Linked DNA regions of Caenorhabditis elegans. The protein of the gene in region 1 purifies or fractionates together with the protein of each later gene. This does not show direct contact. Each region holds a gene or a part of one and is shown in the gene's direction. Other genes may lie near its edges.

The links.
Region 2: the proteins of asp-3 (region 1) and gst-26 fractionate together in Caenorhabditis elegans (co-fractionation; one large-scale study listed by BioGRID). This does not show direct contact.
Region 3: the proteins of asp-3 (region 1) and gst-7 fractionate together in Caenorhabditis elegans (co-fractionation; one large-scale study listed by BioGRID). This does not show direct contact.
Region 4: the proteins of asp-3 (region 1) and D1022.4 fractionate together in Caenorhabditis elegans (co-fractionation; one large-scale study listed by BioGRID). This does not show direct contact.

The regions. Positions count from the first base shown.
Region 1 is NC_003284.9:6,787,733-6,795,688, forward strand, and holds asp-3 (Aspartic protease 3), read left to right. Parts: upstream 1-3,331; 5' UTR 3,332-3,458; coding exon 3,459-3,517; intron 3,518-3,597; coding exon 3,598-3,874; intron 3,875-3,925; coding exon 3,926-4,030; intron 4,031-4,083; coding exon 4,084-4,839; 3' UTR 4,840-4,977; downstream 4,978-7,956. Other genes in the region: sgca-1 (Dystroglycan-type cadherin-like domain-containing protein), read right to left, coding at 45-223, 633-722, 780-942, 986-1,109, 1,160-1,252, 1,309-1,416, 1,501-1,599, 1,645-1,795. UniProt on the Caenorhabditis elegans protein: Aspartic protease. Part of the necrosis cell death pathway. Involved in neuronal cell degeneration. Involved in heat stress response.
Region 2 is NC_003280.10:15,161,725-15,168,880, reverse strand, and holds gst-26 (glutathione transferase), read left to right. Parts: upstream 1-4,327; 5' UTR 4,328-4,337; coding exon 4,338-4,476; intron 4,477-4,525; coding exon 4,526-5,016; 3' UTR 5,017-5,064; downstream 5,065-7,156. Other genes in the region: gst-29 (glutathione transferase), read left to right, coding at 1-288; gst-28 (glutathione transferase), read left to right, coding at 1,489-1,627, 2,120-2,610; gst-27 (glutathione transferase), read left to right, coding at 3,212-3,350, 3,451-3,941; ptr-20 (SSD domain-containing protein), read right to left, coding at 5,409-5,717, 6,384-6,619, 6,696-7,014.
Region 3 is NC_003280.10:4,877,531-4,885,468, forward strand, and holds gst-7 (putative glutathione S-transferase 7), read left to right. Parts: upstream 1-4,561; 5' UTR 4,562-4,588; coding exon 4,589-4,721; intron 4,722-5,273; coding exon 5,274-5,761; 3' UTR 5,762-5,828; downstream 5,829-7,938. Other genes in the region: gst-6 (putative glutathione S-transferase 6), read left to right, coding at 2,386-2,518, 2,968-3,455; gst-8 (putative glutathione S-transferase 8), read left to right, coding at 6,224-6,356, 6,533-7,020.
Region 4 is NC_003280.10:7,453,696-7,461,236, reverse strand, and holds D1022.4 (Dienelactone hydrolase domain-containing protein), read left to right. Parts: upstream 1-3,944; 5' UTR 3,945-3,950; coding exon 3,951-4,027; intron 4,028-4,072; coding exon 4,073-4,169; intron 4,170-4,272; coding exon 4,273-4,830; 3' UTR 4,831-4,923; downstream 4,924-7,541. Other genes in the region: sro-1 (G-protein coupled receptors family 1 profile domain-containing protein), read left to right, coding at 1-466, 960-1,127; D1022.2 (TIL domain-containing protein), read right to left, coding at 1,211-1,376, 1,481-1,701; D1022.5 (Dienelactone hydrolase domain-containing protein), read left to right, coding at 2,431-2,507, 2,869-3,425, 3,473-3,570; D1022.3 (Dienelactone hydrolase domain-containing protein), read left to right, coding at 5,028-5,101, 5,280-5,842, 5,894-5,994.

The DNA.
Region 1 (7,956 bases):
TGTACAAACATGTACAATAACTGAAGTTAAAATGTAAAATATACCCAGACGTTTTGTCGTCTCTCCATTTCTGCCCTTCTCTTGACCCAAAAAAAATGAGCACGAGTGCAAAAACAAAAAGAATTGAAACACCAAGAATTATGGCAAATAAGACGATGCTAAAACCATGTTCTGAGTATCCATATAGTTCACGTGGGGGTTGTTCAGGTTTTTCGTTCAAATTCTGAAATGTAAAGACATTTTTTCTGAAATTTTTTTTTGAAAATTTCTGAAATTAAATTCTAAAATTTGAAGAAAACATTAATCACATGCCCGGTCCGCTTCTTTCAGGTTATGGTTACTTGCCGCAATACTTTCGTTTGCTATTTGCCAGCTCACCCCGATAACCGCACGCGATTATTGTGGCTATGTAAAATTTCAAGGCCAAATGCATATTTTATGCTTAACTGTCAAACTTTGCTAATCCGTCCATTTCCATCTCGCTACTACTTTATTCGAGCCGTTCAATTGGTTTGTTAAGCTATTCTTCAGTGTAAAATGTTGAATAAACTAATAATCAAATGAAAACTAAGTTACGGTCGCTTCAAAGCTGTGCATTTCTCAAAACATGTAGAGTTTTGTTTAAAAGTTACCTGATCTGGATTCGCTTTTGTCAGTTTCTCTTCTTGTTCATCCTTTATCAATTCATCAATACCTTCTCCTTCAAGAGATGAAATATTTCTCTGAATTAATATTTAAACATTTTAGAATGTTGACAAATTTAATTATTTTGTTCTTACTACCGCAACATTACACCAGTCCACCGGAAATGTTGGTGCAAAATACTTATTCATCACGACAGATGAGGGATTTGAACAAAACTCGGGCATAGTTTGTAAATTGTGTACAATTGACATGGTTCCGGGATAGAACTTTTGCTGTGTACCAACATACACCATTGTTCTGAATTTTTCAAAAACTGAATTGAATTAAAACATTTTTTTACCCGAAACTATTTTTGAAAATGTGCTCCTTGCCACGTGGAATAATGTATCTGGAGCGAACACCTGCAATATATGGGTTTACATTTCTTCCCCGGAATGTGTTTCGCAATGAGTTTTCTAGTTGACCTGAACAATATTATGATGATGATGACAAAAGTGTGTTTTTTATTACTCACTTATTTTTCTGTCTCGATTTGAAACTAAATCCTCTACATCTAGTCCATTTATTGGCAGTTCAAAAACTTGTTGCGTATTTCCTTGATACAATGCTGCAAAATTACAGTTTACTGTTTCTTTTTTTTAATGTTCTAAACTATAAACTAACAGTCTTCCACCAAATTAATCACCACCATTCTTTGCTGTATATCAAAATTATCCAGTCGTTTCGCAATCACGTGTAGTGTAACATGCTGCACATTTGTGACCGGTGTGCCTGAAACATACATAACTACGATAAAAATCATAAGATGATTTTATTTTTATGAATGTACTGGTGTGTTAATAACTAATCGATCACCTATTAGATAAGCGATTTCCGGGTGTCGCGACGGTAAGAGACGTAACCAGTTTGGAAGAGCCGGCTTTTTGTTTAGCGTAGCTTCCCATTTCACTTTAACTGAAAATAAAAGAGCAATTGATAAAAACGATCAATAGTTTGCACCTGTGCTCGGGAAAAAGTGTGCAGAATGGAGAGTGTGGACAAAAAACTTTCCCTTGGTTGCAGTCACGTGAGTAGGAGCTTTGAATGATTTCGACGTTCGAAATAGCAACAAAATGGAGAATATCGAAAAATCGAGTAAACGAATTTTCATTTTAAGTGAAGATTTTGTGTGAAAGAGATGTGTGGAACGAGATCCTTTACAACGGCTGCTCGCTGAGCCGTCCGCACAAACTTTTGCTTTTTACACAGCTCAACTGGGTTGGCGGTTTGAGGGAAGCTGCCAACAAGACCCGCCGGGGAAATCATTGTTGACGATATTTTAGAGCATGATGAACTTGATGAGATAAACTGATGTGGTGGGGTTGATTGATGTCGTCTCAATAATGTTTTTAAGATAAAAATAATGAATATATACATTAAAAACGATACTTGAAAGAAAACGTGATATGAATGTCTTTATTTGGAATTTTGGTTTCAGGAGAGTCTCTCTTTCAGAAATTCAGAAAAGGGGTGAACAATTTTTAATCTAAAAGGTAAAAAGTTGTTAAAGAAAGAGTAAATATTAAGAAAATTGTAAATTTTTCAAAGTTAGACTTTTTAAAATCATTAAAAAAAACTAGAGCTAGGTAAAACTTCAATTTTGTTTAATTAGCCTTGACACAGCGGCTGGGAAATAATTTATCATTCTACAAAAAGTTTTTTCATTTTCGTCATTTATACACTTTTTTTTGTTGAAAAAACTAGAATTCAGAGTTTGTCAAAGGTTGGGTATTGGCCGTTGTGAAAATGAAATTTAAATTGTGGTTTAAAGGTTTAAGACTATAGTGAAACTTTTCAAACGACTTTTTAAATTTTTTGTGCAGTCGAAAATTCAAGAAAACTTAGTTTTCACCTATCATAATTCTGGAAGTGGCTGGAAAACAATATAATTTCCAAAATTTCAACTTAAAAGTATATATATCTAAAAGTTTTTGAAGTATGTATATTTATATTATGATTATTGGTCATGCACGACTAATATAAGTGTTTTTAAGCCAACAAAAAATATTGTTAAAAAACTTTCGGCCAATTTATAGTAACACATGTTTTACTACTTAAAACTTCAATACTTGGTTCAATGAAACAAATTTATAAAAATTACTTCAGGTTCTAAAATTATTAGTAATTGTATACACACCTGCTCCACCACTGCAACAGTTCTCAATTTATTTCATCTAGTCCAATGTCCAAATTCTGATTTCGTATTCCCTATCTACTTCGTAACGAAAATTGTGAGACAATTTGACGATAATGATAATGATTTCATATTTTGTGAAAATAAGCCGATTAAATTTTTAACGTGTGGAACTTTCTAGAACTAATTTTAAAGTGTAGTCATATTTTAATAGGGGAGAACAAATCTGAATTGTAGGCCATTGAAATTGTTATTTTGATCAGAATGACGATGAGGGTGTGACGACGACAAAGCAGTGTTGACTTGTTGCTGAAAGTACATATGATTTTGCTGGAAAAAGTTTAATGTGTTCTTTTGGCAAACAGAACGCTATAAAATCCGGATCCTTGTCAGCAAGTCATTTTGTCAACCCGGACACTTTTTAATGGTTTTCCCTCATTTTACACACAAAGTACACTACTTTAATAGCCGATCTAAACTTTTGACTCGGTGAGAGGAAATAATTCCGTTTTCAGCCAGCCAACCTCCTCTACTAATTATCACTAAAATCGGTTGTGACGTTTACAATTATATCATCAAGAGTTTGTGTCGCATATAAAAGAAACCCGGAGCGCTGCTTCTCAATTAGTGATAACGCACCATGTCGGGCCGCGTTTTCCTTCTTCTGGCTCTTGTCGCCTTGGCTTCTGCCATCCAGAGGTTAGTTACATTTTTAATATACCATTCATATATTTAAATTATTTTATTTTATTTATTTATCATGTTTCTTCTTTTTTTAGAATCAAGCTCGAGAAGCGCACTTACACTCGTGAACAATACAAGTTCGGATCAATCCAAGAGCATCTTAAGGCCAAGTACGTCCCAGGATACATTCCAAACAAGGATGCATTCAACGAGGGTCTTTCTGATTACTCCAATGCTCAATACTATGGACCAGTGACCATTGGAACTCCACCACAAAACTTCCAAGTTTTGTTCGATACTGGATCCTCCAACTTGTGGGTGCCATGCGCCAACTGCCCATTCGGAGATATTGCCTGCAGAATGCACAACAGAGTTAGTTTTGAAGTATTCAAATCAACTTTTTTTCAATAAAATAATTTTCAGTTTGATTGCAAGAAGTCTTCTTCCTGCACTGCTACTGGAGCCTCTTTCGAGATCCAATACGGAACTGGATCCATGAAGGGAACCGTTGACAACGATGTTGTCTGCGTAAGTCAATCTTATGATGTTATTTACAATATAGCTGAAAAATATATTTATAGTTCGGACATGATACCACCTACTGTACTGATAAGAACCAAGGATTGGCCTGTGCTACTTCTGAGCCAGGAATCACCTTCGTCGCTGCCAAGTTTGACGGTATCTTCGGAATGGGATGGGACACTATCTCTGTTAACAAGATCTCTCAGCCAATGGACCAAATCTTCGCCAACTCCGCCATCTGCAAGAATCAACTATTCGCTTTCTGGCTTAGCCGTGACGCCAACGACATCACCAACGGAGGAGAAATTACCCTTTGCGACACCGATCCGAACCACTACGTCGGAAACATCGCTTGGGAGCCACTCGTCTCTGAGGACTACTGGAGAATCAAGCTCGCTTCGGTTGTCATCGATGGAACCACCTACACCAGCGGACCAATCGACTCGATTGTTGACACTGGAACTTCCCTTCTCACTGGACCAACTGATGTCATCAAGAAGATCCAACACAAGATCGGAGGAATCCCACTCTTCAATGGAGAGTACGAAGTTGAGTGCAGCAAGATTCCATCTCTTCCAAACATCACCTTCAACCTCGGAGGACAAAACTTCGATCTTCAAGGAAAGGACTACATCCTTCAAATGTCCAACGGAAACGGAGGATCCACCTGCCTCTCTGGATTCATGGGAATGGATATTCCAGCCCCAGCCGGACCACTCTGGATTCTCGGAGACGTCTTCATCGGACGCTTCTACTCGGTCTTCGATCATGGAAACAAGAGAGTTGGATTTGCCACCTCTAGAACCGGAAAATAAGCCTATTTCTAATTTAAAAACTCAATTTCTATGCCATTACTTGCTTGATTGTAATAAATGTGGTTATGTGATGATAAGAAGTTCTAAAACAGTTCTTTCTATACGTTTGCAAGAATTCTAAAAACCCTGACTGGCTTCTTGATAACAAAGTTTACATTGGGTGGGAGGAAAACACAATTTTATGAGTTTTATTTTATGCTGTACTCAAAGAAAACAAAAAATCCAAAGCTTTCGCGAAACATGTGGTTCTCACTTTTTCATGACGCAAGAAATTTTCGTACTTTTCTCACTTGTTCCAGCATGATTCAAATGCTTTGATACACTCCATTTCCACATGTTTTAAATCTCACTAGTGAACACTTTCCGTAGAATCCTCCAAGAGAATAGTGGCACATTTGTGCTACAAACAATCTGTTAGAAATTTGTTTATATTTTTGACATTCTTCCTTCTATTCCTTCTATTCCTGCTAGCCGATCCTCCTCCCCTCAACTTAGAAGAGACATTTGAGATGTTCGATTAGATTTTATTGAAATATACACTTGTGCACGCAAAAACCGCGCGATTATTGTGCAATACCATGTCGTGTTTGTAAAGGAAGACCGCACACAATGCATGTTTCCGGTGACTCGGAAAATATACGTGAATTTATGCTTTGCGTAAATAGAAGTTACGAAACTTCTTTCTTCCGTTTTTTCTCTACTTGAAAGTCTGAATTTTTGTTTTAGACTAAATTCAAAATTTGTTTTGAGAAATTTTTTTTAATTGAGGGAACTTTCCCTGGATATTTTTCTAACGCTATGCAAAGCATTGCAATGTGCTAATTTTTAAAGTACAACTATTCTAAAAACTTTAAAATGTTTTATTTACTGTCAAAAACTTATTATAATATTGTCAGTCGACAAGCTACAAGAAATTGTAGTTTATCATCATGGTATTATATTAATTTAAACTATAATATTCAGAATTCAGACCTAATCGGGCTGTAGACTTTTATTTTTTACGTGTTTTTCAAATTTTAATTATCCTTTTTTTTTCAAAAAATGGCGACCTAATAAAAATGATATTAGCCTGCCGTTAACTGAAAAACTTATAAATTACATTTTTGCCATAAAATATAATCTGAATTATAACAAGAATGTTATTCTGATCAAAATTATTGAATTTTTCATAAAACGGTTCAAATGTACAAAAAGATTAGTTTCCTAATTTTTGATTTTTTTTCCTTTTTTGGGCAAAAAACTTATTTTAAAAAACAACATTTCGCGTTTTTTCCAAATAGTTTTAAAAAATTGTATTCAGCCCCACTGACGATATTCTAACTTTGAAAAACTTTGGATACCAATAAATAGGCAACCCATAACTAAAAAAAAGTGTGTTTCTCATTTTTATTTATTTTTCTGAAATATTCCAGATTTCATTTACCCGCTGGTACTTTCTCATAGCCAATATAGTATTCCATCATTTTATTTATTGTTTGATATCACATTTCCACTGACCACCTCTCCATTCACTGTGAAACAAGACCTTGAAAATATTTTCCCACATTGGGTGGGGTAAAATGCATACACCATCTAAACCTATTGTTCGAAAACGCTTCACCTGGGAAGGTTATTCTTTTAGTGAAAATTGTGATTTTGAGCGATATGATGCATGAATAGGTGGCTGATAATAAAATTAATCAATCAATCGTCTTTCATCTTACTCTGATCTCTTTGCTGGTCGCGATGTGATAGAATAAAAAACAGTTCATAATTCTTTTTTGGTTTTTGATGTGGACTTCCAGTTCTCTATCTTCGATCACATGCTTAGTTGGTCATCGGCGGACTGGCATCATCAAGAGAGCTTCATAAATCTTTTGGAAATTATCATAGGCGGTTTCGCCAAAAAGGGGCAAAACGCTTAGTATGTGCGATCAGAAATGGGAATGTAGGAGGATGAAGAGGAGCAGGTGATTTGCGTGCGCATCCGATGGCCTCTTTTCCTGCATCCTTCTGTCATCTATCATATGGAGACTCATTTCAATTACCGCTTCTTATTCGATCTGTCCCGTCGCCACTCTTCTTGCTCGCTTTTTCGTCGTCCTAAATACACTCTTTTTCCCAATTCCCATCACATTATTCAGCACATCACAGTTCCCTCAACCCCACTAGCCCATTCCTCAACGACACTTTTCCTTTTTCTGTCGCTCTTTTTTTTCCCGGACATAACTTACTCTCATAACGCGCTCGTACAATTTGTTGAGTTGGAATTGCAAGGCGGAAAAGTTACAGCAGCAATGCTGAAATAAGAAAAAAGCACCTACAATTTTACGAAGCGGCTGCTTTTCTTTTTTCTTTTTTTCCCCTCCACACATACACCAACATAACAATCAAGAATTTAGTATTAGTATTATGTGGTATCAGTGTTGTTCTCTTCCTTTGTTTAATTCAAAACCTGTCACGGCTGTCTGTAATATCGAGAACTGTAATTAAAACTATGCGTTCTTGAATTGCATTTTTCCCAATACTGTCAGTTATTGGCGCCAGATTTTCAAAAGAGTTTCCATGATAAAATTCAGTTGTTTCATGGTTCAATTGTTCATTTAATTTTGTTCAATTCAATCTACTACCGTTTTCCCTCTATTAGCATTTCATCCCAATTTTCAAACTTGTCAATTGTCAATTATTCTACTCAAAAACTGTTAACAGAATAAACAAAAGGTTTTTGTTTTCTAGTGTTTGTAATTCAAAATTAATAGGTAGAACCTTTCAAAATAAAACAATTGGATAGAGAAAATACGTAAAGTTGAACCGAAACTCATAATTTAAAATTTCATCAGCGATTTGTTGTTTTTGAAACATAAACACATTTTGAGCCATTCAGTCATACGAACTTTGAACCTACTTACAGATTTCTGTGGTCATTATTTTATGTGTTGAACGTTTTCTATTAGAACCGCTTCTAATAGACAGAAACCTGATCTCCAGTCTTTTAAAACTTGAAAATACTCTTGTTGTCATAATTTCTGAGGCGCTCTGCACGCTTTGATTTTTGATAAATCTAAAGCACTTTTGCATGTTCAAACCCTACAATATTGGAATATAAGAATTTAAACATGATGAACTCGAATAGTTTTT
Region 2 (7,156 bases), on another chromosome or scaffold:
AAATCGGATGTGGAAATTGCCAAAGTTGCCTCAGAAGTTGCAATTCCTGCTAGAGATTCGTATTTTGAAATCATCACAAACCTCCTTGAAAAGAGCAAGTCAGGATTTCTCGTTGGAGATGGGCTCACATTTGCTGATATTGTCGTGGTGGAAAGTCTTACCAACCTGGAGAAAGTTCATTTTTTCGATGCATCGGAGCACCCGAAATTGGCAGCTCTCAGGGAGAAGATCTACGCAATTCCGGCAATCAAAAGCTGGGTGGATATTCGACCAGATACTATTTATTAATTTAGTTTCTGGATTTCTTTTGTGAATAAATTGAAATAAATTCAGAAATATTCATGCAACTATTTTTATACTTACAATTAGAACAATTTTATTTTGGCGGGGACCGCGGACAAATAACGGGCGAGACCACAAATCAGGGGTGGGCGGAAAACGATTTTTTCTGGCAAATAGGCAAATAGCCGGAATTGAAAACTTCCAGCAAATCAGCAAACTGGCAAATTGCCGGACTTGAAATTTTCGGCAAATCGGCAAATCTGCAAATTGCCGGAATTAAAAACCTCCGGCAAATCGGAAACCGGAAAATTGCGGAATTAAATTTTCCGAGAAACCGGCAAATCTACAAATTGCCGGAATTGAAAACTTCTGGCAAATCGGCAAACCAGAAAATTGCCGGAATTGAAATTTTCGGCAAATCGGCAAATCTGCAAATTGTCGGAATTAAAAACCTCCGGCAAATCGGAAACCGGAAAATTGCGGAATTAAATTTTCCGAAAACCCGGCAAATCTACAAATTGCCGGAATTGAAAACTTCTGGCAAATCGGCAAACCAGAAAATTGCCGGAATTGAAATTTTCGGCAAATCGGCAAATCTGCAAATTGTCGGAATTAAAAACCTCCGGCAAATCGGAAACCGGAAAATTGCGGAAATAAATTTTCCGAGAAACCGGCAAATCTACAAATTGCCGGAATTGAAAACTTCTGGCAAATCGGCAAACCAGAAAATTGCCGGAATTGAAATTTTCGGCAAATCGGCAAATCTGCAAATTGTCGGAATTAAAAACCTCCGGCAAATCGGAAACCGGAAAATTGCGGAATTAAATTTTCCGAAAACCCGGCAAATCTACAAATTGCCGGAATTGAAAACTTCTGGCAAATCGGCAAACCGTCAAATTGGGCTCAGGCTCAGGCTCAGGCTTTTGAAGTCCTAGTTTCAACAAAACCAAAAACCACAACCAAAAACCAAAGTGGCAGGAAACGGCAAAAGATCAATCGTTTCAAATTGTTCAAACACAACCAAGCATCAACTGCCAGCACACGTGAAGGCAGAGACATAGACGGTAAACATATAGTATAAAAAGGGTTGGCAAAGTTGTACAGAAAAATAATTGATGCGATTATTTTGTTGTCCAATTATTTTCGGCGTTCCAGTTTTCCTTTTTTGCGTATAAATACTACTTCATTACAGAAAAGTTGTCAAAAATGCCTACCTACAAGCTCACCTATTTCAATGCTCGTGGATACGCTGAGGCCGCACGTATCCTCTTCCACTTGGCAGATGTTCCATTCGAGGACTTCCGTATGACACACGGAGATGGAACATGGGAGAAGCTTAAAGACGGTTAGTGGAGATTTGGGGCCTACCGATTGCCTGCCTATCTTATTATAGCGCGATATTTTGATAAGAAGTTATGGATGGCATTCAAATTTTAAAAAAAGTTCTGACAATAATGGGAAAGCCAAATTTTCTGAGCACACGGTCTTGGATGGGTTAAATTTTTTTCAAAAAATTGTAGGCATCATTTTTCGTAAAAAAGGCATTCCAAATTAAAACAAAAAATTATTTAAAAAATTTCGCCGGAAAAATCAATTTTTTTTATAAAATAGTTTTAGGGCTATGTATATGTAATTGTTTCGAAACTTTTTTAGCGGGAAATTCACAATAAAAAAAACATTATTTTTCACGATGAAGTTTTGGATGGGATTCGAATTTTAATCTAAAAATTTTTTTCTAGAAACTTTTACAACTTCTGGAGCTTTTTGGAAAATTTCTGAAAATTTTGAAATTTTTAGAATGCTCCAAATACTTACTCACATATATATATTTTTTCAGGCGCCCCATTTGGTCAAGTACCTTACCTGACCGTTGATGGATTTGATATCCCACAATCTGCTGCAATAATCCGCTACCTTGCCAACAAATTCGGATATGCTGGAAAAACCCCAGAAGAGCAGGTTTGGGCAGATGCCATCGTTGATCAGTTCAAGGATTTCATGGGATCATTCCGCGAACGTATCATGGCACATTTCGCTGGAAAATCTCAGGAAGAAATTGCAAAGATCACTTCTGAAGTAGTGATTCCAGCTAGAGATTCGTACTTTAAGATTCTCAATGGGCTTCTTGAAAAGAGCAAGTCAGGATTCCTAGTCGGCGACAGTATCACCTTCGCGGACATTGTCATCTCTGAGAATATTACTACTTTGGAGAAAAATCAATTGTTTGTTGCTTCGGAGCAACCAAACTTGGCTGCTCTTCGAGAGAAGGTCTATGCAATTCCAGCTATCAGGAAGTGGGTAGAGGCTCGTCCAGATACTCAGTACTAAATCGAAAATTTTCTTGAAATTTTGTTCAATGAAGTAATATAATTACAAATTCGAATAAATTTTTAAAATGCACCACTATTTGCATTCTTATTTGCAATTTTCCTCTCAATCGCAGCTGCCTTCTTCCTCTAAAACCCGCACTCAACATCATTCTCAACAACACCGTTTCTGCCAAGTGCACGCGTGGCCTGCTGGATAACGAGTTGGTCTCTCGTTCCGACTGCCACAGGTTCGTGCCCTCTCACCGCCTCTCTACCAAACACTTGCAAGTTCTGTTTATTGCAAGTGCATGGAAGAGGCGAATAGAAAACGGAATGATGTCCACTCCTTCGATTATCGTTCATTGGATTGCGGGCACTTTACCTCGTTCGACATTTTTTATTTTAACTTAAAGTAGAATTTTGGATTTTATTGACTCTCCGTCCGAATTTTTATTGACTCTTCTCCCACCTCCCCCCCCCCCCCCCCATCCATTTCTTGGTTTTTGGTTTATTGATCTCCACGACAGTTTGATAACACTTTGCGGAGGAATTTTTCCCAATCATTTTGCTTGCAGAATCACACAAGAAAACTGTCTGGTTGTGGTTTTCATTTAACTAAAATGCCATCCTACAAGCTGACCTATTTTAACGTGCGTGGATATGGAGAACCAGCTCGTATTCTGTTCCATCTTGCCGATGTTCCATTTGAAGATTTCCGAATGACCATTGGAGATGGAACATGGGAAAATCTCAAAGCCAGTAAGTAATAGCGACCTTGAAACGCCATATTAAAATTTAAAAAAAACTGAAATAAAGTAGCCAAGACAGAAATTGAACATTATTTTTTGTTTCTATTTAGAAACTCCATTTGGACAAGCCCCAGTCTTATCAGTTGATGGATTTGAAATTCCACAATCCGCTGCAATCAACCGCTACCTTGCCAAGCAATTCGGATATGCTGGAAAAACCCCGGAGGAGCAAGCCTGGACTGATGCTATCGTCGATCAATACAAGGATTTTATGGTATCAATCAAAGAAGTGGGAAAAGCAAGCGCTGCTGGAAAGTCTGCCGAGGAGGTCGGGAAGATCATCCAGTCAGATCTCGTTCCGGCAAGAGATGCATTCTTTGTGATAATCAACAAGATCCTTGAGAAGAGCAAGTCCGGATTTTTAGTTGGAGATGGTCTAACCATCGCAGATATTGTGATTGTGGAATGCATCACAACTTTGGACAAACATCAGCTCTTCACTGCATCGGAGCAACCAAAATTGGTCGCGCTTCGAGAGAAGGTATATGCGATTCCAGCAATAAAGAAATGGGTTGAGATTCGTCCAGATACCCTGAACTAGGTTTGTTTTAAATGTGCTGATATATTAATTCAATAAATCGTTATGTTATGTTCATGTAATCTCATTTTATTTTCAAATACGTTAATTCTGAACGTGTTAATTCTATTTTTAACTTTATTTTTCTATCTAGATTGAAGCTAAACTCAGTTCTGTTCAATTTTACAGTTAAAAAAATTTTATGGTCCAGGATACATTTTTTAAAATTGTACAATTGACCTTAAATTGTTATTTTTCTCTGAAATACTTTGTAAAAATTAATCATGGTTTGACTTTTTCTGTCAAATATTTGATAAGACTATGCGGAAAGACTGCATTTTTCCAATGCTATTTCGAAAAATTGTTTGATATCGGAATCACACTATCACACATACCTATATTTAAAACAGACAGATCACTATGCCTTCCTACAAACTCACCTATTTCAACGCTCGTGGCTACGGAGAAGCTGCTCGTATTCTCTTCCATCTTGCCGATGTTCCATTTGAGGATTTCCGTATGACCCATGGAGATGGAACATGGGAAAAGCTGAAAGAAAGTAGGTCATTTATATGTGGCAAACACTAAACTCAAAGTAAGTATTTCAGAAACTCCACTCGGACAAGTCCCGGTCCTATCCGTCGATGGATTTGAAATTCCACAATCTGCTGCAATCATCCGCTATCTTGCCAATAAATTTGGATATGCTGGAAAAACCCCGGAAGAGCAAGCTTGGGCAGATGCCATCGTTGACCAATTCAAGGATTTCATGGGATCCTTCAGAGAAGTCGGAAAAGCACATGCCGCTGGAAAGCCAGCTGAGGAGATTGCAAAGATCATGCAATCAGATGTCGTTCCGGCTAGAGATGCATTCTTCGTAATCATCAATGGGATCCTGGAGAAGAGCAAGTCAGGATTCTTGGTTGGAGATGGGCTCACTTTTGCCGATATTGTAGTTGTGGAGTGCATCACAACTTTGGACAAAAATCAGTTATTCACTCCAGCGGGAGAGCCAAAGTTGGTTGCTCTTCGGGAGAAGGTCTATGCGATTCCAGCTATCAAGAAGTGGGTCGAGATTCGCCCAGATACTCAGTACTAAAGTTTGTTGTAAATTGTTTGATAATTGAATACAATAAATAGTTTTAATATCTCCTTGTAAAAATTCAAATTATTGTGGGAATATAAATTCACTAGTGTAATTTAATTTTCTAAAAATTTCATAGTTCTGTTCGCTACAGTAACAGTGCTGCTTGAGTACCGAAGATAATTCTCAAGTGCTTCGAACCACTCTTTTCATTTATTTCATACTCATATGTAACCTAAAACATAGAGCTGTGTACTGTTTTACTATTGAGTACGAAAATTTTATTTCAAACATGTTATCAAACAATCAATGGAGATGTGAACAACCCGTATTAGATGATAATACAATCAATGGAAAAGAAAATACCCTGGGTTTTCAAAAAAACATACAAACTACAACAAAACGCTCTATGAAGCCAATTCCATCGAATGCGGAGTAGGAGCAACTGCACGTTTCCGTCGGAATAAGAGCTTAATGTCATGCGTTAAAATGAATATTACTGGCAACAGAATGAGAGCATGAAGCATTCCAAGTATACCGACCAGGATCACAGTCTTCCAGAATACTGCTACAACATACGCACGTACAAACATCAATGGGAACATGCCAAGAATCGTGGAGAGCCCGGACTGCATTACTGGCCAGGCGACTCCGCGGAAGGTGCTTAGAAGACGGTCACGAGTCTCGGCGTAGTTATGTGATCTCCAGAGTTGCTCCTAGAAAAATATGAAGTTGGTTTGAAAATGGGGTACGGTTGTTTGGTATGGTGGATGTAGTGTGAAGTATGTAAACATCGTGTGGGGCTGTCCCATTACGGTTTGATCTACAAAAAAAATGCGGGGATATTTCGCCAAGAGAAATGTGTTGAAAATCAGTTGAAATCTCTGCGTCTCAACTCCCGCATTTTTTGTAGATCTACGTATTTCAAACCGAAATGGGACTCTCTGACACCACGTGATGGTACAATAGTTTAAAAATAAGATCATAGATTAGGGTACTGTAGGGTTAATGCATGTTTCAATTTTATAGTATAGTATTTGACTAGAATGCCAGTACAGTAAGGGGTACTGTAGCTCGGGCGTCTTAATAAGTGGCTTAGCTTGATGGGATTACTGTAGAGCTAATTTAAGTCAGCCACACACAACTTTTAGTGTTGTGATTCTTTATGAAACGGAGATTCCTCGTAGAAACGGAATCCCAGGTTACTGTATTTTAGACTACTGTAGATTAAGTTTTTTGAAACTATTTTTTTACAGAACTACAGTGCTCCCACAGTACCACAGAAGAACTCCTACACTACTCCTACAGTGCCCCTACAGTAGTCATACAGTACTACTATAGTACCACTACGATACCCTCACACTAAGCTGAAAAATCCTTACATCCTCATGCACATGAGCAAAGTAGTGATAGCAAACATGAGCCGAATAGTCCACGGAAAATCCAATTGACATTAGCATAGATATCAGTGAAACTGCATCGAGATTCACATTCCATAAATGGAGGTACACAACTATTCCGAGACATATTGATACAATTGACACTGCTACAGAAATAATTGCCTCGAAATTCATGATAAATACCAACACTAGAAGGGACATTAGTACGACGGCGGATACTGAAAAAAACAAATATTTGGAAGTTTTAATATTCTGGTACGGAAAAAAAAACGATAATTTTTAGAGTTTCTTTACCTGACGTGGATATAAAGTTGAATGGGGCTGAAGCTGCACTTTCCGTGGGAACTTTTTCAAATGGATGATGTGAAAATACTTTGAAATAGGTCGAATAATTCTTCAAAATATCCCGACGGTCCTCCAAAAACGACTCGACTTCCAGGAAATTGGTGAAATTGCGATAGGTAATTGTGAAGAAGAATCCATCGATAATTTCATCGCCATTCGTGTCATTTGTCATAGTGACATATTTCTCGTCCATTCCATATTCCCTATAGTTGTTAACCATATCCTCTTTGTGCCAGAAGTCTTCAGTTTCACCCCAGAAGGCGACTGCCTAAAATTGAGAAGAACAAATATTTTTTAGCTTATGAAAAATTGTACAGAATGAGACCCAACACTTTTTTGGAAAACTTGGGAAATCAGATTTCAGAATTTTATAGACAGGCTTTCTGACGAAACTAGATCCAAATAAGATT
Region 3 (7,938 bases), on another chromosome or scaffold:
TCAGTACTAGTTCCTTACTATTTTAAACATTTCTAGTAAATAGTATCTCTATTCCAACTTGCTAGAAACTGAAATCATAATTTTTAACAATCAAAATGTTGTCTTTTGCAGATCCGAATACGTGTAATGTTCAATTACAACATTCGTTAAGTGTCTAGATATTTCAGAAATATCTGTACACAAACCTGAAAGGTTGCCAAAAATTGCCAAAAGTAGTGCCAGCTTGTAATTTTTCGGAGAATTCAAGACAAGCTTAAACTATATATCAAGGCTAACTAACTAACCCAACGAGTAGGTGTTTTGTTTAAAATTTTCAATATGGGTTTTTACAAAAACTAGCCTAAATTCTTTGTCGATATAAAAACAGGATAGATACTAAAAAATATGTTATATTTCAAGTGGGCACAACTGTAAAAATTGACACTAACTTCCCATTAATTATTCAAAAATTCTCCTCATTTTTCATTCTGCCAATGAAAAGCGATATCAATCAAGCCGCAAATAACCGTTTTCTCAAAAAAGAACCATAACCAATGACAGGGCTTTCTTCATCTTCTTCTTTCATCATTCTTCCATTTTCCAACGTTTCCTGAAAACGAGAGACGTGAGAAACTTGCTAATAAACTGCTGCCTGTTGTGGTGTGGTACTTGGTGAGGTCTCTCGTCCGTCCGACGATGAAAAACGAAAAAGTGATGGAAAAAGAGAGAAAAGGATTGAAAATGAAAATGAGTGAGACAGAAATGGAATGAGAATAAAAAGTTAATGATATCTGAAAACAAGGTATAGTCATACCAGCAAGAGTAAATTTCCAAAAAAATAGTTTCACAAAAATGTGAATGTTCACTTTTTTGCTATATTCACGATAATAACAATTAATCAAAAATTCTACTAATATCGCAGATTTGAAAAAATTGAATTGCAAAACGGATAAACTTGCCAGCAAAAGTGGAAGCCTCGGTGGTCAACTTAATTTTCTAAACCCACTAAATTGCGTAACTTCAAGCTGCCGTATCTGGAAAAATACAAGTCTTGAGCAAAAATTGCTAACTAACAAAATGATTCAAAATATTTTTACTTTTATTTGCATTACTTTTCACTGCAAAAAACTAATTATTTGCAGAGTTGCACAGAGAATTTTTAGGTCGTTTCAGAGAAGAAATCACTTAAAATGAACATGAAATTCGTAAATAGCGTGTTCTCAGCTTTCTAAAAATATTTTTTTCGACCCAAAAATCGCAATTTCATTTTTCCGCTCATTTTTCGAAAAGCAAAAGTCCCATTTCTTATTTTGGAGCGGAGGACGATTTTGGAGATGAGCCCACATTTTTGAAAGATTTTCTAGGACATTGTAGAAACCTCAAAAAAATGATCATTTTTCAAAATTTCAAGTCGATACGTTGGATATGAAGATTTTTATGACGGAGATTGGATTTTTTCAGAAAACGGTCTATAACTTGGCGGAACATGAAAATATCGAAAAACTTAAAACGGATAAAATGTGGAGAAATATTTTTCACTTACTACTTAACAAAATTTATCTTTTGAAATTCAATGAATATTGAGTTATAAAGGGTACAACAAAAGAGTTCTCAAATTTTTCTTTGAATTTTGGAAAAATGGCTTTGACTCTGTGTAACTCTACAAAAAGTTGTTGATATACAAATTAATGTAATAGAAAGAACAAATGTTTCTGATCATTTTGTTAGTTAAAAATTGTTTTTCAGACTTGTATTTTTCGAGATACGCCAGTTTGAAGATGCTCAGTTTAGCGATTTTAGGAAGTTATTTGGTCCGTTGAGTGTGATGTATACCAAGATTGGAACTTTGAAAATATGAAAGTATAGGAAAAGAAATGCAACTCTAAGGCACTTCAGGTGTGAGCGGCAAATGTTTTTTTACGGCAAAAAAACGGGAAACCGGCAATAACGGTAAACCGGCATTTTGCCGGAAATCAGAAATTACCAAAATTTCAGAATTTCAATTTTAATCGGCGAAATTGTACGCATCCTATAAATGTTCCTAAATCTATTTTAATAAGTAAGCAATTATGTGTTTTTTTCTTAATTTCAGGTCTTTCCAAAAAAGAAATTATCAAGAATTGACATGATATCAAGAAGTAACAGACTGTATATTCCCCATAAAGCTTTAAAATTAATTATCCTCTCAAAGCCTTTTTGATTTCTGAAATCACGGTTGATCATACTATAGTCAATCTTGAAAGTGATCCGAAAAACGCTGTGCTCTCAAGTTTTGGTTTTGTCATCAAATATCTTCAGTCATATATTGAAAAGTAAATAATGATAGTAGAGCACACAAAAAATGATAAGAATAACCCAGTATTTGATGATAATTCACATTCATTTTGTAGGAAAAAATTTCACGAAATGGTTCACTACAAGCTCGTCTACTTCCCATTAAGAGCCCGTGCTGAAATTGCTCGACAAATCTTTGCCTATGCAGGACAGGATTATTCCGAGGAGAATCTGAGCTTTGAACAATGGCCAGCACGCAAAAATAGTGAGTTTATACACTTTTGGCAAAGATAAATGGTTTCAAAACTTGAAAACTACGTTTCATACATTTCGGTATTTGTTTATTTTTTAAATTGTAGATAATTGCAAACAAAAGTTCTCTAACTTTTCACATCCGAACTAGAACAGTATTCCATGATTCAATACTTTAAAAAAATCACTTTGCAAATTGGGATTATGCTTCTGATTGTTTTTTTTATTTCCTGATTTAGGGTGATCAGTCAGAAGTTCAGAAAAAAGGTTGTAGGTACGAGGAAAACTTGATGCTTGAAACTTTTTATGGAATTGTGCTTTCTGACAACATCTTGGACACTGTGGAAAAGTCGCTCCTGGAGATCGAACTAATCCGAAAAATTTTCTAAGACCTTCATACTTTTTTAAAATTAAGATTAGATTTTATTTTAAAACACTTCTCCTCAAATTTCAAATTTCTAGACACTCCATTCGGTCAATTGCCAATTTTGGAAGTCGATGGAAAACCATTGGGACAGTCATATGCAATTGCTCGGTACTTGGCCAGAGAGTTCGGAATTGCTGGACAAAATGACACCGAGGCGGCAGAAGTGGATGCAATTGCTGATCAATTCAAGGATTATCTCAACGATGTCTCCCCATATTTAACAGTTCTTGCTGGATTCAAACCTGGAGACAAGGATCAACTGAGAACTGATGTTTTTGTTCCAGCTTTCAAAAAGAATTTCGAGTTTTTCGAGAACATTCTGGCATCTAATCACAGTGGTTTCTTTGTTGGAAACTCTTTGACATGGGTGGATCTTTTGATTTCGCAGCACGTTCAAGATATTTTGGATAAAGATTTGGCAGTTGTTGAGGAGTTCAAGAAGGTTTTGGCACATCGTAAGAAGGTTCAGAGCATCGACAGAATTCAGAAGTATATTGCAAACCGTCCAGATTACCCATTCTAAATTGAAATGAGTTTGCAATTTTGTATTATTTTTTAATTCATATTTCAAGAAGCAATTTTTTGCTAATTTGTTTTAATGGAAATCGATGTTTCTAAAATATCTTGAATGAATTGTTCTTTTAAAAATTTTATGGTAAAGTTTTCAGCAGGATGTTTCTATAGAAGCTTTTTGCATTGCAAGAGTGTTGAAATATACAGGATATTTACAAAAGCCTGGGAAGTAGGCATGCTTTTAGGTACAAATCAGACCTACACCGCCTTCCTTTGTGGTTTACCATCATAGCTAAAACTTTCCGAACATTCCCTGGTGAGACACAATGTTCAAAGCACAAAACCAATCACGTCATAATGTTAATTTGACTTTTATTGTCAAAAATTACAAAAGCGTCGTTTTCTGGAACATGAACATAATAAGAATTTTCAAATTTCGGTGGGCACAATAAATATGTAATCTTTTATTTATTTTTGGAGGATAGTCTTTTCAAAGGCAGGTGTATAACCCTCAAAAGAAAGCACGTTTGTGTTTCAAAGTGAGACTTAAATTATTTCAAAGACAAATTCCATAGGAAATCATTGTTCATCAGGCACCTTCCCAGAAATTAGGCTGTAGGCAGGCACGTAGGCTGCGGTAAATGCCTACGCCTCTTTTGCGCGAGATTATGAAATTGTGTTGTACTGTCGGAAAAATTTCAGAAACAAAAAAAAATATTTTTTGTGACTTTTTGTGTCAGTTATAGTAGTTTCTTATCATGGTATCTTCAATAATAATGGCAAGCGTAACAAGATGATTGATGCCATGGGTTTATATTTGTGAGTAGTCACAAATTGTGACACAACATTCCCTTCGAAAGATCTGGAAAAGTCACAAAACCTTGCATATATTTTTTTCAACCAATATTATTTTGACCTACTCTGTTCATCGTAACATTGCAACAACAAAAAACGATGACTACACTTTATGATTTCTAGTCAACAACGTGCGCGCAATGTGTAGAGCAAATGATGACAAACTACAGAATATGGTGAGTGGAGAGACGACAGACATTTGAGAAATGGGTATAAATAGAGACGGCCGGCATTCAGTGTTCAACCCTTCTCATCGACCACTCGATTTCTTGCTTGGTTATTTCAACAATGGTCCACTACAAGGTATCGTACTTCCCAATTCGTGGAGCTGGAGAGATTGCTCGTCAGATCTTGGCCTACGCTGGACAAGACTTCGAGGACAACAGAATCCCAAAGGAGGAATGGCCAGCTGTCAAGCCAAGTGAGTTTGGGATTGAAAATTATTGTTTGAATAGGTGCATAGATATTGAAATTGTTAGTTGAAATCTTATAAGTAGTTCCAAATTAAAAATTCATTTTAGAAATAGTTGCAGGCTTTTAGTTAAGCTGTCTTTGGTTTTATCAAAAAAATTTTGACTGACAAAATACGTGAAGAATATACTTTTAAATATTGTCAGTTAAACATTTTTTGATAAAAGTTAAGAGAACCGAGATGTAAGCCGTTAAAGTAGCAGGTACGGTATATTCCTTACCTTTCCTGTTCCTATTAACTAGGTCACACAAATTGCCTTTTTGCCTTTAGAGTAGATTGAAGTTGTTATTGAGTTACTTTTTGAAAGTTATTGAAATTTCGGTGTTCGAATGAATAGACCTTGAAAAAGGAAAAAAAAATTCAAGGCTAAACTCTAGGCAGTTTGACACCTAGAGATGTAAACAAAGTGCTTGGTATGACTGAGAGATAGAAGTTTGGAGTCAATGATTGTTTACTCAAAGAAAACTTTGAACTTTAGGTTTTAATTATATTATTTTTCAGGCACTCCATTCGGACAGCTTCCACTCCTTGAAGTTGACGGAAAGGTTCTTGCCCAATCTCATGCTATCGCCCGTTACTTGGCTCGTCAGTTCGGAATCAATGGAAAGTGTGCATGGGAGGAGGCTCAAGTCAACTCGGTTGCTGATCAATTCAAGGATTACCTCAACGAAGTTCGTCCATACTTCATGGTGAAGATGGGATTTGCTGAAGGAGATCTCGATGCTCTTGCCAAGGACGTCTTCCTTCCAGGATTCAAGAAGCACTATGGATTCTTTGCTAACTTCCTCAAGTCGGCTGGATCCGGATACTTGGTTGGAGACTCTTTGACCTTTGTCGACTTGCTCGTCGCTCAGCACACTGCTGATCTTCTGGCTGCCAACGCAGCTCTTCTCGATGAATTCCCACAATTCAAGGCTCATCAGGAAAAGGTTCACTCGAATGCCAACATCAAGAAGTGGTTGGAGACTCGTCCAGTTACTCCATTCTAAATGATTTCCAAATTCACATGGTCTCTTTATGTATTTTTGTATTGATATGGGATAAATGATTGCATTGAAATCTATTTATTCTGAAAAGTTCTCTAAAAAATAAGATAGCAGAAGCAACCGATATATTTGTTCAGACATCCGAATCATCATGAAAAGGCACTTTTTGAACTGAGTTGTCAGTAACATCTGCGCAGTGGGAAGAGTAAATGATGACAAACTTTAAAGTTTCCAATATACTCTTTATTTTAATGTACATTTATCTAATTCAACCAGTTCATTGAAACAGACATAACGCCAAACTATATTTGTGGTTTGTTGTCAGCAGAGTGCGATCAAAGCAGTGATGACTTAACAGTACACACACACTTAGAGAATATGAGTATAAATAGAAACTTCTTGGTTTTTATTTCAAACTGTATCACAGACTTGTACTCCCCAATTACTTGAAAAGTGGTAGTAATAATGGTCCACTACAAGCTATCATATTTCCCCATCCGTGGAGCTGGAGAGGTTATTCGACAGATATTTGTATATGCTGGACAAAGCTTTGAGGATCATAGAATTTCAATAGAGGAATGGGCAGCTGTCAAACCAAGTGAGTTTAAGCTATTTAACAATAAGTTCAATTCAATTGATCAGATGTTTTTTTAGTTGTCATTGGCTTCATCAAAAAAACATATAAAAGAGACGAGAAACATAGTTTTTCCTCAAACATTCTATTTGTAATTTTTGAAGTTTCTGAAGTTCAAGCAGCTTAACAATGACTTTCAGCCACCCCATTCGGGCAACTTCCACTTCTAGAGGTCGATGGAAAGGTTCTTCCACAATCTCATTCTATCGCTCGCTTTTTGGCTCGTCAATTCGGAATCAATGGAAAGTGTGCATGGGAGGAGGCTCAAGTCAACTCGATCGCTGATCAGTTCAAAGATTATCGCAACGAAGTTCGTCCATATGTGATGGTGAAGATGGGATTTGCTGAAGGAGATCTTGATGCTCTTTCCAAGGATGTCTTTCTTCCAGGATTCAAGAAGCACTACGGATTCATTTATAATTTCCTTAAAACTGCAGGATCCGGTTACTTGGTTGGAGACTCGCTGACGTTTGTGGATTTGCTCATTGCTCAGCACACTGCGGATATATTGAGTACTGATCCAGCTCTTCTCGAAGAATTCCCACAATTTAAGGCGCATCAGGAGAAGGTTCATTCAAATGCCAATATCAAGAAGTGGTTGGAAACTCGTCCAGAGACTCAATTCTAAATAATCGTTCAATTCTAGTTTTGAAATTGAATAAACTACAATGAAAATATAATTCATAGACAAAAATTGATTGAATTTTAGTTGAGTAATCATTTGGTTTTTTGGAAAACTGAGTAATGTAAAATTGCGGCAGAAGGGAGAATTAAATTTAGATATGACAAGACTCAAGCGTGGGAAATGATTATTAACTTTCGATCAAACCTTTTTGTAGTTATGTCAATGATCGTTCAGAATTGTTTTTGAACTGTTTACCTTATCTCTGTCGATTTATTCTGAAAAGGGATCAATTCTGTTTTGCACACTAAAGTGAAAAAGTTTTTCGTTGTCAATTAGTACGTTCCTGAAAGGCTTTCAAAAATGAAAAGCTAGCAAATTTCTAATTTTTGCACAAGTTGAACAAAATGTGTTCTGTTCAATAGTCGGTACACATTCCTCGAAAATTATTCTAGGAAAAAATACCAATTTTGCAGCTGCTTTATATAATCAATTAAATTAATATCACATTTTTTGAAACATATTCCGACACATCGAGCCCAAGTTTCACTTGCAAATCAAAATTTGTTCGTTGAGCTGTGAAAGGACATACTCCATGGCAGGGACAATTGATTGAATTAACCGAACAAAAAATAAGTAACATGACAAATTGTGGGGTTAGCCTAGTACGTGTATTTCTCGCGACTCTGAAATAATTGCCGATTTGCTTTTGAGATCACAAAGTTTTACGTTTTTCTTTCTAGTGTAGTTGTTCATTTTCACCTGTTTTGAGTGGGAATGATAAATAAATGACAGACCTGGTTTTAGAGAATCACGTTTTAAAACTGTCCCTTTAAAATTATTAAAGTTGTTACCACTTTCATTTGAAATCTTTGAGTCACTTTCGTTTGGTGGCACAATTTACAGTGTTAACGGATTTTTTTC
Region 4 (7,541 bases), on another chromosome or scaffold:
TTCGGAGAAATCTCGTCTCTCGGCACACAGATACATTGCATTTCTAACAGCAACTTGTCTAGTGTTCTTCTTGATTCCAGTCTGCATTGCTTCTTCTCTCTACTACAGTATAATTGATCATGTTGATAGCCAAAATGCATCAGAAAGTCAATTGGAGAATGGTATTCCAAAGCCAGAAGTCTGCACATGGGCTCCAAAAAATCATGTTGGAAAAGTTGGACTCGGATGTCTCCTTGTATCGGTTGTCCCGTTCTTCGCCTACTCCATTGTCTGCCTGAATCCAATGAAATCAAATTTCCATCAAATTCATTATATTGTGATACCTGTAATTGTCAGTCGAGTAAGTACTCTTCTCAATCCAATTTTCTACGTGTGGCTCAATCCTGAAATAATCCCAATCAACGAGTTCATTGCAAAACGAGCAAAGCCTCGTCCACAACGACCAATGTACAATACAATCAGATTAGTAAGTGAAAATATACCGTATATCTTCTATTAATATGGCCTCCCTATTAGACTTGCACTCCCTATTAGTATTGCCCCTCGGAGACCTTCCGAAAATTAGTATGGCACTCCCTATTAGTCTTGCACTCCCTAATAGTCTTGCGTTTACTCTTTTTTATTGCAGGCCCGTCTCGTTTAATTTCAGGATTTCAACAAAAAAAATTGCCTATTTTGCTACAGTTTTTCACAAAATTTCTACGAGATTGAAGTTTTTGAACTTATATGTTACAATTAAAATCAAATTTTCTGAATTTTTACATAAAGATTCGAGCTTTTTCAGAAAAAAACTAGTAAGCTCAAAGTCAGAAAAATGTTCTGAAAATTAGTATTGCACTCCCTAATAGTCTTGCACTCCCTATTAGTATTGCAAGCGGGAAGACCATCGAAAAATAGTATTGCAGCCATATTAATAAAATAAATACGGTACTTTAACTCAAAAAAAAAAATTATTCCAGATCGCCGATGTCCCTGGAATGTCTTTCCCTATCCTGACACCAACAATTCCCCGCCGACAACTTCCAAAAATCCCGCCTCATCTGGCATCACCGTCGAGACCAAGTCTCAATGATTTTCTGGAGGAAGATACCGATTACGAACCAAAAGAGCATACACCAATGCTTTAAATTACTGGAAATACACATAAATGTACGGGTTAACATTGTTTGTCGTAATTTATTAAAACTGTTTCAATAAAAAACATGTATTTTTATGGTTGAGCCTTCTTGATTGGTACATTTTCGGCGCTGTCCTCTACATATTCAACACCATTTTCCTGTTGTTGTTTATTATCTTCATCGTAGTATTTGTCAATAAGAGTTGCATCTTTACCAAGACAAGGACGGTTGTTGCATTGATATTTAATGGGATTTTTCCTTTAAAACTTGAGTAAGGATCTTCGAAGAGAAAAATGTAGTTACATATACATTATTAGAAACACACCATACAAAACTTATTTTTAAAAACTATATATACTTACGGGCATGCACAATTGTCGGTCTTCTCCACGCATGCGTACTTCATAAGTTGCCAACCTCCACCACATGTTACTGGACATTCAGTCACTGGAACAATGTCACATTCAACTTGAAGTTGTGGAGAAGCTTGAGCTATGGTTGCAGCCACAAATGAAATAAGAAGAGAAAATACCAGAAGCATGTTTCTTTCGAATGACATATGACGAGGGGTTTCAATGGCCATAATGATTTTATGGATTTGCTTGGTTGTCTTTGAAACAAAACTTTCGGGAAAAATAACGATGAGTCTCCTCTTTTGTACACATTTTTAATTCTCACAGATTATTGACGATACCAAGTCGTTTTTGATGAGATTCTCAGATTTCGAGAAGGAAGATGTTTTTGAAAACTGTACAGTATGGCTTAAGAGAACCTCATTGAAACACTCATAAAAGATCTGAATAAAAGCCAGACGCATAGTTTTCTAACAAATTTTTAAAAAAATTCAAAGCTGGTTTTTTTTTCAAATAAATATAAAATTAAAATGAATATCTTTACAAAAATAGACTGGAAAATCTCTAATAAATGCAAATCCATTTGTGCCAACAATTTCTCCAAACAATAACATGATTTCTGTGGTTTCATTATGCAGAGCGTGTAGAGACAACTACCTCAGAACTGTCAGAACTGTCAGAGTAACATTTACATGTCAGGGACAATGCTAATTTCATATCTAATTTTGTGACTATATCGTTATAAATTGTTATTCCAGTATTTAAGATTTGTGATGCGACCGTCTCGTACGACAGTTTTTGGATGTATGGTGAAGTTGGTCACAAAATAATGTGTCCTTATTTTGTGCTCATCGGAGAGATTTGGAGAGCCTAGAGAAACACAAAATTCAGGAAATTTCTTATAAAAGTAGTTGAAACAACAAAAGTGAAAGTTGTTTTATTGGTGTCGCGAAGGCAAGATGTCTGTTACTCATAGTCAACTTCAATACACAGATTCCAATGGAAAAGTGTACGAAGGAGATCTTTATGTTCCAAGGTTTGTATAAATTTAAAGTTTATGTGAATTTTGCCGGAAGATTGAATTTTAGCATGAATAATAAAAGTGTGTGCGGATTAGATTGTTTTTCCTTCCACCAGTCGGATAGGTTTGCATTTGTTGACTTTCTGTTGTGTGGTGTTTTTTTGTGACAAACGATTGCCTCAACTTTATTGAAATTAGGGATTTTAAACAAATTAAAAATTTGAATCTATGTTGTAAATTTTCGATAAATGTTATGCAATATTAAATTTACTTAGCATACGAAATCTGATTGATGATTAGAATGGTAACATTTGACATCAACATAGTATCAGACTGGTTTAACTAATTATCAAACCAAACTTGTTATTTATTCCAGAACAACTAGAATGAGAAAACTTCCCGGTGTCCTTGTGTTCCCTGCATTCCGCGGAATCACCGAATTTGAAAAAGAAAAAGCGAAGGCTCTTGCTCAGGAGGGCTACATCGCATTGGCAGCTGATCCATTTGGAAAGGGAATTCATCCAAAAGACAAAGCAGAATGTTTTGCAATTGTACGCCCAATGATAATTGAGAGGAGTAAACTATTAAAGTGTGTAATAGTCGCGGCATTTGATGCCATAAAGGCTGTTCAGTGTGTAGATGTTAATAAAATTGGAGCACTTGGATTTTGTTTTGGAGGCCTATGTGCGCTTGATCTAGCCAGGTACAATGTTGGACTGAAAGCAGCCATTTCATTTCATGGCACACTGACTCCAATACCTGATGCTCCACTTGATAAGATTATTGAAACAGCTGTCCAGGTTCATCATGGAGATTCGGATGCTCATATTCCAAAAGAACAAGTCGATGGATTCCACGTGGAGATGAGAACTCGAAATGCGGATTTTGTGTTTTCCAGTCATGCACATGCTGAACATGGATTCACAGAGCCAGGTAGAAATAGTTTACGAATAACTTTACGATATATTTTTATTTTTCAGATGCTGATTCTTTCGGACTTCCCGGAGTTAAATATAACAAAAAAGCTGCGGATCGATCATGGGCATCTGCTTTGGCTTTATTTAAAGAAATATTTTAAATCTCATATTATATGCATTATTTAAATTTATATAAATTTTCATGAAAGAGAAAGAAAAATATTTGTTATTTTTAATCAGATTCAGATAACTTCAAAATTTTGGCTCAGTTTTTATGGCTTTGAACACAGTTTAAAGTCTTAATAGAGATGTAGTTTATATTGATCATTTTTGTGACAACTTTTTGGTTTGTGAACTTTCCCGAAACTATGTTTGCTACGCACTAATGAAACGTAGAGACCCAGAGAGAAAAAAACGAAAGGTCATAAATATAGCAGTTATAATGGTAATAGAGACGATACGCAGACAACGTCAAACCCCAAAAGGTATACATATATATTGACCGTCTTAGATAACTCTTGTTAGTTTTCTTCTTTTCGAGATGACCGTTACCACGAAACTTATTGATTATTCTGATGAGGAAGGTAATAACTTTGAAGGAGTTCTTTATATTCCAAAGTTTGTTTTTTATTTTTTATTTTCATTTTTTATTTATTTTTGTAGGAATGTAAAACAGTCAAAAGTTCCCGCCGTACTGATTTTCCCAGCTTTCCGAGGAATTACGCATTTCGAAAAGGACAAAGGCCAACAAATTGCCGAGGTTACTTTAAAGTCTATATTTAGTAGGTTTTACAAAATCAGGAAAACTATAACAGCTGCATTCTCAGGAATATGCTGATTTAAAAAAAAAGACCAAATTTTAGCTTGGATTCGTTGCTTTTGTTGCTGATGTCTATGGAAAAGGTGTGAGACCAACTGAACGAGCAGATGCATTTGCAACAATGGGACCGCTTGTTTCCAATCGCGTTGAGAAACTGAAACCAAGACTTTTTGCCGCTGTCAATACTTTGAAGACTTTCTCTGAAGTGGACACCTCAAAAATTGCAGCAATCGGATATTGTTTCGGTGGGCTTTGTGTTCTCGATTTGGCAAGATACAATGCTGGACTCAAAGGAGTTGTATCCTATCATGGAACTTTGAAACCAATTCCTGATATTGCTCTAGATCCAATTGTTGGAACAACTGTGTATGTTCATCACGGAGACGCAGACTTCCATATTGCAAAAGATCAAGTTGATGGATTTCATGAAGAAATGAGAACTCGTCAAGCTGATTTTGTCTTTGTATCGCATGCAAATGCAGTTCATGCTTTCACTGAGCCAGAAGCTGACAGTTTCAATGCACCAGGAATTGGTTACAATGAGAAGGCTGCAAAAAGATCATGGAATGCAACTCTCGACTTGTTCAAAGAAATCTTCTAATGTTGTACTGTACACTACGATCACAAAATTTTGTGACTTTTCTATCTCTCCGTCGTAACAAACCTGTTTGAAATAAATATGATAAGTAAATGTATAAAAGTATTTATTATGATCATTTTGTCATTTTTTGCAGAACTTTTTCTGATTCTATAAATTTTAAAGTTCAGATTTCATAGCTTTTTTCCGAATTGAAAGCTATGTCGATTCATCAAACTATTGATTATGAAGATGCGGATGGCAATTTATTTTCAGGAGAGCTGTATAAACCAAGGTTATTATTTGATTGTTTACTTGTTAAATGAAACCGTTGAACACTATGTATATCTAAAATAGATCTAAATTGATTTCAACAAATAAGAGTTTTCAAGTTATATCCGATGTCTGTGATAATTGATAATTGATATTTTAAGATTTTTGAAAAGTTTGAAACTATAATTCAATGTTTTCAGCTCCGATAACTCTACTAAACATCCCGGCGTTTTGATTTTCCCTGCATTCCGAGGAGTGTCCAAACTGGAAATTGCAAGGGCAAAATTATTGGCTGAAGAACATGGATATGTAGCTCTTGTTGCTGATATTTATGGAAAAGGAATTAGATGCACAGACATCTCATCGGCAGTGACACTGCTCCGTCCTATGACTAGCGATAGAAATGGAAAGTTGAAACCAAGATTAGAAGCTGCTTTAAATGCCTTGAAATCTGTTCCATGTGTAGATAAACAGAAGCTCGGTGCATTTGGATTCTGTATTGGAGGACTGTGTTCCCTGGATTGTGCTCGTTATAGATTTGATGGAATTCGAGCTGTTATAAGTTTTCATGGAACTCTGACCCCTATCGAAGGAATTCCTTTAGAACAATTAGATGATATTTTTATTCAAGTTCACCATGGAGATGCTGACGCACATGTTTCAAAAGTCACCGTTGACGCATTCCACGAAGAAATGAGAGCAAGAAATTCCGACTTTGTTTTTATTTCTCATGGGAAAGCAATGCATTCGTTCACTGATCCTGGTTGGTTTCCGTGAGCTCATTCAGGGAAATGTCAAAAGTTCAAATTTTCAGAGTCTGCTGAAATTGCCCCATCTGGAGTCGGTTACGATGCGAATGCTGACAAAAGATCTTGGAAGGCTACACTAGAGTTTTTGAAAGAAGCTTTTGCATGAACTACACATTCCAATAACTTCTCAAAATAAAATGTTACTTCATCTGTTAAAAATAGGCTGACAAAATTAGAAGATATGAGGATTAACGGAGCGTACTGAAATCGTAGACACTCTTGATTTCGTACTGCCAGAGCCTCCTCGTACTTTTCTCGAAATAAATTTCAAAATGGATTGACGATATGGTAGTATACAGTAACAAGATATAAATGGATCACATAATGCAGGAAACCCGGAGCACAACATTTGAAAATGCTCTACCAGAACAATTTCTTTTCCAGTAAACTGGGAATACAAGTACAATGAAACAATTGGTGCATATGACAAAAATGGAATTCGAGCTAAAATTAAAAAAAAAGGTATTTCACAAGTAACTGTGGTAAAAAGGACTCCTTCCGACCGAAACGTCATAAAGATTGGAGATAACGAAAACAACTATGTATCGACTAGGCTGGTTGGTTGATACTTGGTACATCATCAAACTTGGCACATATTCAATCTCGCCATCTCTGTTGCTATTTAATGCTGTTTACAACTCTGTGAATACGGGATAGTAGTGGCGATAGGTACACCTGTTGTAGTCCATCGCCACCCCTAGTCCTAATAGCACCTAGACATCTGTCAACTGGTTTGAGCAAAACAAATTGCACAAAAAATACAGGGCGATGCCGACTCCTTGGAAAATTAGGTAGAAAAGACGGTGATGTGTCTATGTTTTTCCATAGTATTACCTGCTAGAGGCCACTCTCTTTAAAGGCAGATGATATCTCCCCAGAACGGTGGCTCTGCCACTCTGACGATTAAATATACTGAAAATAAAGATAAAGTCCAAAAATTAAATGTTAATAATATAGGAACTACCAGAATACCGGCCATGTCTGACAAACAAAATACGTTTTTTTTTTCAAATCTTATAAATTTTTCGAACGTTTTTAAAGGTTAAAAGTTGTTTGAAATTCCTGAAAACTCCCCTCAGTTTCTGCAATAATTTAAAAGTAGTTCAACACTTTATAAGTTTTTTGGCGGCTTTTGATAGTTTTGAAGACATTCTAAAAAATGGTAAAAGTTGTATACACAGAATATTTTGAATATCAAAAATAGTATCAAATAAGTTCAAAGCGTCATCAAACAATTGTTTTTTTTTTCAAAATAGATATAATGTGATTTTTTTATTTCTAGTGGCTTGCACAATTCTGAAAACTTCCTTCAGTTTCTGAAATAATTAAAAAAGTTTCAAATCCCCAAACTGTATTACAACATTTTTTGTTAAGATTTCTGTTGATTTCCGATAGTTTTGGAAACATTCTGAAAACTCGTAGTTGCTTATCCAATGTAGAACTTTCCAAATTCTCAAGCTATCACAACAGAAATTTAAAAAAACACGGGCTGTAAAAGAATACATGTGTTCAAGACTGACGAAACTTTAGAACCTGATTAGCTACAGGAGTTTAAAATATATTTTTTGAAAGTAAAATTAAAAAGGTTTTTGATATTTTTTCAACAAATGTTTTTTCTTTGAGATATAACATTTTTCATATTATAACTACTGT